Linked DNA regions of Sus scrofa. The protein of the gene in region 2 purifies or fractionates together with the protein of the main gene of each other region. This does not show direct contact. Links are inferred from orthologs where the notes say so. Each region holds a gene or a part of one and is shown on either strand. Other genes may lie near its edges. The genes, in order: PSMA7 and PSME4.

The links.
Region 1: the proteins of PSME4 (region 2) and PSMA7 purify together in Homo sapiens (affinity purification with mass spectrometry; 4 studies listed by BioGRID and IntAct, with this or other methods). This does not show direct contact. The link is inferred for Sus scrofa from reciprocal best matches to the Homo sapiens genes PSME4 and PSMA7.

What each region holds. Positions count from the first base shown.
Region 1 is NC_010459.5:61,568,468-61,572,829, forward strand, and holds the start of PSMA7 (proteasome subunit alpha type-7), read right to left. Parts: upstream 3,050-4,362; 5' UTR 2,899-3,049; coding exon 2,803-2,898; intron 1,094-2,802; coding exon 967-1,093; intron 406-966; coding exon 281-405; intron 1-280. Other genes in the region: SS18L1 (calcium-responsive transactivator), read left to right, coding at 3,406-3,474.
Region 2 is NC_010445.4:87,276,387-87,280,192, forward strand, and holds part of PSME4 (proteasome activator complex subunit 4), read left to right. Parts: intron 1-1,004; coding exon 1,005-1,097; intron 1,098-1,621; coding exon 1,622-1,887; intron 1,888-3,806. UniProt on the Homo sapiens protein: Associated component of the proteasome that specifically recognizes acetylated histones and promotes ATP- and ubiquitin-independent degradation of core histones during spermatogenesis and DNA damage response.

The DNA.
Region 1 (4,362 bases), on a different chromosome or scaffold from region 2:
ATCACCAGGGTAGGGGGACTGTCAGCGCCTCGCACCTGCCTGGTGACTGATCATTGGGGAGGGCATGACAAAAGCCACAGCGTTTCCCTCCAGAGATGAGCCCACATCACCTCGTAAGAAGAAAATTTCAGGTACCACTAGGCGAAGGATGGGAAGTTACACGAGGCAGGCGAGGACCACCCCGTGAGGCTGCTGCTGAACCCCCGTGACGCACCCGCAGCAGGACACTAACTGGTGACGGCCCCGTGACGGGAGCCGACCCAGGGCAGGCGGCGCCTACCTGCTTCAGGCTGGCGATGTAGCGGGTGATGTACTCCACAGTGACCGGGTCCTCCACGGTCAGCCGGTGGCTCTGGCACTCCACCCGCGCCCTGTTGATGACTATCCGTGCGTCCGCGGTGAGGCCTGCGGTGACCGGAGAGCTAGCCTGAGCCCCACCTTCCAGTCAGTGGTCCAAACCAGCACGGCATGGACGGCACAACCTCTGGCGGCTTCTAAGACCGGCTCCCGGTTCCCAGCGCGGCGCCTGAGTGACTGGCGGCGGAAGCAGCAGCCCCCACGCGCTTCTCTGAGAAAGCTGGGCGGGCGACCAGCACGCGTCCCGGGACAAAGCAAGTCAACCTCTGGATTGGGTAAACCGGGCGCTCCCTGCCGAGGAGGGAGATGAGCGAGGAGGGAGATGAGCGGAACCACAGGAGCTGACCGCACCTGACAGCAGAGCGCCGGACGGCCCCACCTTTCCCACGGCGACATGCCGCTGAAAGCACGGGGCCACCGCACAGCCCCTCACCCCGGGCGTCTGCTGAGAGCCTGTGCGTCAGCCACCGGAGAGGGACCCTCCTGCCCAAGAAGCAGGCCGCACCTGTTTCTTGGAAACGGTCTGTTCCCCGGCGTGGGCGTCCCCGGCAGCGCTTCCCCGGGTGACCCTCGTAGGAGGCAGGAGGAGAGCCCCGGCCCCAGGCTCACCCGCGAACGCCATGCAGACGTTGTCGTCCAGGGCGCAGATCTTCCGCACGGTCCGCTCGTCCTGCAGCCTGGCCACCGACTTCTTCTCCACGCCGAGGACGACGATGTCCCTTCCGCGGACGCCAACCTTCAACGGGCATCACCGTGGCACTTAAACGTGTGACGCGATCCCAGCCCAGAGCACGAAGAGCGGCTGTTGCCGCGGCCCCATGACCACTGGGGCAGGGGGCACGCACAGCCTGCAAACCGTGGGGCTGGACCCGCTTATGCACAACTACCTCAGGCGTCGCCAGCCAGGTGCCCACTCTTGGCCTTAGGCTTCAGTTTCAGTTCAACTGAAAACCACCACCGTGTGTGACCCACGTGTATGTGCCCCTTCAACCCCATGATTCGGAATTCGGCGTAAAGCCTTTAGGCCTGAGTCCTTAACACAGAAATAGCTGTCCTGAAAGCAGTGTTGCGTGGCTGTGAAGTCACACCCAAACCCTCCCCGCTCCCGCACTTCGGTAACCTGTGTGCACGGCAGTGGGCAAGTGCCTGATGTGACCAGGTGGACGTGTCAGCTACCCCCGGGAGGCCACTGGCTGTTTCTGGCTGTCGCTTCGCAGGTAGAAGGATGTCTTACGCACATGGGGAAAAAAATCACGATTGCCTGTCGACAGCCCTCAATGGGAACAGCAGCCGCTGCGCATGAAACGGTCACTGGGCAGAGCGACATCCGCCCGAGCCCAGAGCAGGGCTTCTGAGCCTCAGGACTGTGGGCACCGGGCCCGCCAATTCTTGGATGTGAGGGCGGCCCGGCTCACTGAAGGATGCTTACCGTCCGCCCGGCCTCTGCCCGGCCTCTGCCTCTAGAAGTCTCCTGGCCGTTGCCAAACGCCCCCTGGGCTGCAGAGAAGCCCTGGTCGGCTGTGTTTCCAAGTTTCAAGCAACTTTCCTACAAACTGACCTGGTCTTTAAAGCTCCCAAAGACAAGAAGGCCCTGCTCAGAGGCGCTGGTTAAAGAAAGGTAGCCTGCCGGCGGGCCCCACATGCAATGGGGGCGGGGGGAGACAGGTGCCAGGCGACTCCCCCACTAGTCTCTAAGCTGAAATAGGTCGCAAGGTGGATTTGGAGCCCCCATTGCAGAAGAGGTTCAAGAGATGAAAATACTTCCAAGATTCACAGAATCGTGTGTTTTCTCTCTGGCCAAACCTCTGACACACCAAATAATAAAATAAAAACCATCGTACAGTTTAGCCAATAAGCAAACTGCCAAGCGTACTGAAGGCACCATTGCATTTACGTTTCAAACCGCGGCCTAAACGACAGCCGCGCTCAGGTGCGAGGGGACGAGGGGGGCGGTCACACCCGGAGGGGCCTGCCAGCTGCGCCGGGCTGCCCGGGGACGGCAGGGCTGCTGCTGAGCCCGGCGGCCGCCCTTTGTCCTCGAAGCCGGCCCACTGCTTTCCCGGTCGGGGAAGCCCCCTCACTGGGAGCGGTCCGCATGCCGTTCGCGCAAATCATTTGGTGCCTTAAGGCGCGTTCCGGGTAAGGGGCTGGCCCGCCGCTCGGAGCCCCCCCCCCCCGCCCAGCCGCGGCCCCCGAACCCCCAAAATGGCGCCGCCGGCAGGCGCGCTCGGCTCCGGACACCGGAGGAGCCCCAAGGCCTGCGGTCTGCAGGCCACGGTCCGCAGCGCCCCTTCCCGAAGCAAGCCCCACGTGACGGCTGCCGTGCGCCCCCCCGCCCCTGTGCTACCCGAGCCCGAAGCACTCGGCGCCGGTCAGCGCGGCCTCCCCAGCCGCCCGGGCCCTGCCCATCCCCGGACGTGCAGGCCCCGCGGGGCCGCCGCTCACCGCAGTCGAGCCCTTCTTCACGGCCTCCTGCGCGTACTCCACTTGGAAGAGGTGGCCGTCGGGCGAAAAGACGGTGATGGCGCGGTCGTAGCTCATGCCGGCGGGGCGACGCGGCCGGACCCGGGAAAAGCGCACACTCACGGCCCGCGCAGCCCGCGATTCACGACGTCGCTGCGCCCGCGCCCGCGCCGCGCGCCCGTCCGCCCCCGGCGCCGCCGACTGCGCTGCTGGCGTAAGGCGGGCGTAAGGCGGCGTCGGGCGACGTGCGCGCGCCGGGGCGGGGCCGGGCCGAACCACCGACGGCCGGGCGCGGGGGGCGGTGCGGCGGCGGCGGCGGTGGCGGCGGCGGCGGGCCCGGCGCGGAGCGCGAGGCGGCCGCCCGGGGGCGCCGCGCGGAGCTCGGTCTCAGGCTGCGGCGGCGCGCGGAGCGGCGAGGCGGCGGGTCCGGAGGCAACGCGGCGACGGAGGGGCGGGCGAGTCCACGGCGCAGCACCCCCCGCGCCCCCCGCCCCCCAGCGACTGCGGAGAATGAGCGCCTCTGGCCGCCGAGCGCAGCCGGAGAATAAACCCCGATGATCTCGGGCTGATCCTGCGCCCGCGACCATGTCGGTGGCCTTCGCGTCCGCCCGGCCGAGAGGCAAAGGGGAGGTCACGCAGCAAACCATCCAGAAGGTGGGCTGGGGGCCGCGGTCCCGGGCTGGGGGCCACGGGGTGCGGGCGGGCGCTGGGCCGGGTCGAGGGCAGCCGGCGGGCGCGGGGCGCGAACAAAGCCGGGGCGCAGCCGACCGCCGCGACCCCGCTGGGGCCCCGCGCGCGCTCTGTGGCCAGCGTGCGCCAATGTGGGCGGGGGTGCGCGGGGGCGGTGGGTTGGGGCTCAAGGCGGCGCGTGGGGTGGTGTCCTCGGAGCCCAGCCCGGAACGACCCCGGGCCTCACCGGCCACAGTGGGGACGCGCCGTCTTCTGGGCCCGGGGCCGCGGGGCAGGAGCGCAGGGCGGCAGGACCGGGTGCCCGCAGGGTGGTGTCCAAGGGATGTTGTCTGCAGGGTGATGTCCGCAGAGCCAAGCCAGGGACGACCCCGGGCCCCGCCGGGGACAGTGGAGACCCGTCGCCTTCGGGGCCGGGGTGCGGGTGCACGGCGTCCGGACCGGGCGTCCGCAGGGTGGTGTCTGCGAGCCGCCCGGTGCGCCGAGGGGACCCTCCTGACTGGGAAAGTGGTGACGCTGCGCCGTGGGCGGCCCCCCGCCCCCGCGCGCAGTTTGGCTGGTGGAGGGCGCACGGGGCACATGGGGCGACGGGGATCCGTCCCAGCCGCCGGCCCCGCCTGCCATTTAGGTGCTGGCATTACGAGGCACAAAGAGGTGCATCCAGAGTGAGGGCGCCGGTCTTGCAGCCCCGCAGCCCTTTAAGGAGCGCTCCACGCCTCGGGGCCGGCTGGCCGGCCGCTCTTATTGGAGTGTCACGCTGCTTTTCAGCCTTGACACTTCGCCAGCCTCTTCACCTAACAAAACTTTACAGACTGGTTTTACAGCCTTGCCTGCGTGCTATAAGTTTGGCCTCGT
Region 2 (3,806 bases):
GCTAGGGGTCAAATCTTAGCTGAAGCCACTGGCCTACACCACAGCAAAAGCAACATGAGATCTGAGCCACCTCTGCAACCTACACCACAGCTCTTGGCAAGGCCGTATCCTTAACCCACTAACTAAGGCCAGGGATCAAACCTGTGTCCTCATGAATCCTACTCAGATTCGTTTCCCCTGAGCCATGATGGGAACTCCCTGATTCTTTTTTAATTGAAATATAGTTAACCTATAATACTATATTAGTTTCAGGTATATTACATAGTGATTTGACATTTGCATGCATTATGAATCTGTGCTGTTCCTTGAAAGATCATCTTGAGAGAAGTTTCAAGGCCAAGTTGTAATCCTTTATTCCCAGAATTGTTCGGCTTGATTAGATAAATGCTATCTTTTTTCTCATTTTTCCTTCTCCAATTATATTGTTGTTTGGTTGGTTGTTTTATGTTTGTTTTGGAAATAAATTAAGAAAAAAATTTTTTTTCTTTTGAGTCAAAATATGGTCAAATATAACAGATTTAATCACTTGAACCATTTAGAAGTAATAATAAAATATTTGAATGCATTTATGTACATCTCACCTCTTTATTTCTTGCAGTAAGAGATTCTTCATTTAAGGAATGCTTTTTATGCCTGATGTTACCACCCTTGGTTATATTAAGGTCATAATCTTAGTGATAAAAGATTACTAAGATTCACTAGATTAATAAGATTTACTTATTTGACCACAAAGAGTAAATGATACTGTTACTCTAAACTGAAAGATGTCTTTTTCTGTTTTTCTGATTTGTTTTAGTAAGTTGCCCTTATTTTTAGTAGACTGTCTTGATTTGTATGCAGTTCATCTGGGAAGTGTTTTTGACTTTTGTTTAGAGGTAGAATTGACTTTTGCCCACAGGATGACTATGAGTCACATTAGAGATTCATATGTAGGTCTGGGCCTATTAACTTCAGTTTTACAGAATATTGTGGGTACTGATATTTTTGCTCTTTGATCTGATCAGGGTGGACCAAGTAAGCTAGTGCAAAAACACTTGGCCGGTTTATTTAACAGCATCACATCTTTTTACCATCCTTCCAATAATGGCCGCTGGCTGGTAAGTTCATATTTTACTCTTAAGGTTTGGAATTTTTAAAAGATAATAGTCACATGTAACTATTCTCTATTATGTAACCTATGCACATTTTCTGTCTTTTATATAAGCTTTGGCTGTAGGTCAGTGATTTAAGTTCACATTGGTTACTGTTTTCATAGAAAATACAGAAATAAAGAATACTAGTGTGGTAACTGGTGACAAAATGCCATAAAACCATGGAATCGTCTTTTCAGTTTTTTTGTGTTTGATTTTTTTTTTTATGTTGGATGGTTAAAATGGCTTGTCATGTTATGGAGGATTCATGTGGTGCTAGAGCTAGAAATTAAAACTGAAATTAGGAATAGATGTTTATTATTGTGAATGGTTACTTGGTAAGAGTATTTTATTCTATCTAATTAGGCTGTTCAGGTCTTTGTAATAAGATTATAGTCTGCTATTTAAAAATCTTTCCTTGGGAGGATAAAGAGGAACTATGAATATCTGTAGCAGAACCTACCTAGGACCTTCTGCTTCTGTGTCCCCAGAACAAGTTAATGAAACTACTTCAGCGGTTGCCAAGCAGTGTTGTTAGAAGATTACATCGTGAAAGATACAAGAAGCCTTCTTGGTTAACTCCAGTGCCTGATAGCCATAAGCTTTCTGATCAAGATGTTACAGACTTTGTACAATGCATTATTCAGCCTGTCCTCTTGGCTATGTTTAGCAAAACTGGTAGTTTAGAAGCAGCCCAGGCTCTGCAGAATCTTGCACTCATGAGACCTGAGTTAGTAATACCCCCTGTACTTGAAAGGTAAGTGTGTCTTAAATGTTTCATTGAAGCCTCAGCCATGACTACTGTTGATGCTGGTTATCTCTTTCCTCCACTCTTCTGTTTATTTTTCTTTTCTTTTCTGTGGCTACTGTTCTGCTATCTTGGTGCTTATTCCTGTCCTTAGAGGAGAAGTAAGACATTTTAACCTAATGATTGATAACTTCATAAAAGTTTATTGGAGAGAAAAGAAGATTGCCATGAAATGGATAAAATAAGCATTTCAAAATATGTGCACATTTTAGTTGGTTTTGCCCATAAGTAAAACTCTCGCTATTTTTTCATAAAATGTGAATGCCACTAAATATTGAGGACATTGGCAGTAAAAGTGATTTTGGATTTCTGTTATGTCTTAGAATCAGTGATGGAAAAGAAAATTTGGTTATGTTTATTATTTTCGTGTATTGTATAACATTTTATGTGTTATTTCTGTAGTGTAGATTTTACTGCATTCATTTTGTTTTGTATGTTGAAACTACAAAAATAGTTCTCTGTTTGCCTCATCACTGTCACAATATAGGCCTAGTGTGTTTCCCAAGAGAGACCCACTAGTAGTTATTTTGTGTGTTTAGGAGCAAATTGCTTAAGCTTTGTGCCACTCATTCCTTTGCTGCCTGAACTTCACCTTAACGGTTCCTCTCTAAATGTCTTTGTCAAAGGTAGAGGAAGAATGTTAGTTTTTGGAGCCTAGAAGGATGTAACAGTTTGAGTTTCATAAAATTCAGCTCTGTCCAAGATCCTTACTGTCAGATGCAGGTGACAGCCTATTTTCCAACTCACTGTTGAAATGGTTAAATCGGTGACATTTACCTGGAGAAGGGTATCCTGTTAAAAGACCTTCACCAAAATGGGGCTCCATCATTAGTAATTTGAGTTACTTGTGCTATTTTGCCCTGTTTTCTTCACCGTGAATATTTAAGTTGCACTTCATTTCCCAGCCTCTCCTTTTTTTTTTTTTTTTTTTTTTTTTTTTTATGTACATGGCTTGGGGCTCTGAAACTTTTAGAACATATAACTTAATTGGGAAATAGAATGAGGAAGTTAGGCAGCTTCTCCTGTCTTCAGCTCTCCCTCACTGTTCCGTGCTTACTTGACCCTCATGTGGTAGCAGGCACTGATAGTCAGTGGCAGGTCCCTTGATGCTTTTAGGACAGGAGACTTAGCTCTAAAGGGTGCGTCGGGGGAGGAGGATGGAATAGGCTTCAGTGGTTTACAAGTTAAATTTTGAACTCAAATATTTTGGTGTTTCTTTCCTTCCCATTTATTTTGCCTTGTTTCAGTGGTTTCCAGCTGATTAATTATGTAGTGAGATAAATTTTTAGCAGGAGGAACAAAGCTTGTACATACAAATATAGTTATACATCACATTTTCCTTTAGTTCTCAGTTTTTGAATAAATTTAATAATAGCATATTCTGATCTTAGCCAAGATTAATATTAAGTTGACAAAACTGATAGTACATGACATTTTTTGGCACTCTTTCAGTTGTAATTTTGTCCTGTTAGAAGTGGCATGGCTACCTTTGCCTTTCTTTGAAGGTTTTTCTTTGTTTTTTTTCTTTTAGAAAAACAAAAGTTGGAATTCCCGTCGTGGCTCAGTGGTTAACGAATCCGACTAGGAACCATGAGGTTTCGGGTTCGATCCCTGGCCTTGCTCAGTGGGTTAACGATCCGGCATTGCCGTGGGCTGTGGTGTAGGTCGCAGACTGAGGCTGGGATCCCTCATTGCTGTGGCTCTGGCGTAGGCCGGTGGCTACAGCTCCAATTAGACCCCTAGCCTGGGAACCTCCATATGCCACCGCAGCAGCCCAGGAAGTGGCAAAAAGGAAAAAAAAAAGAAAAGAAAAAGTCTTAAAAAGTAAACATACAGAAAAAAAATTTTAGACACAAGTTTTGCATCTC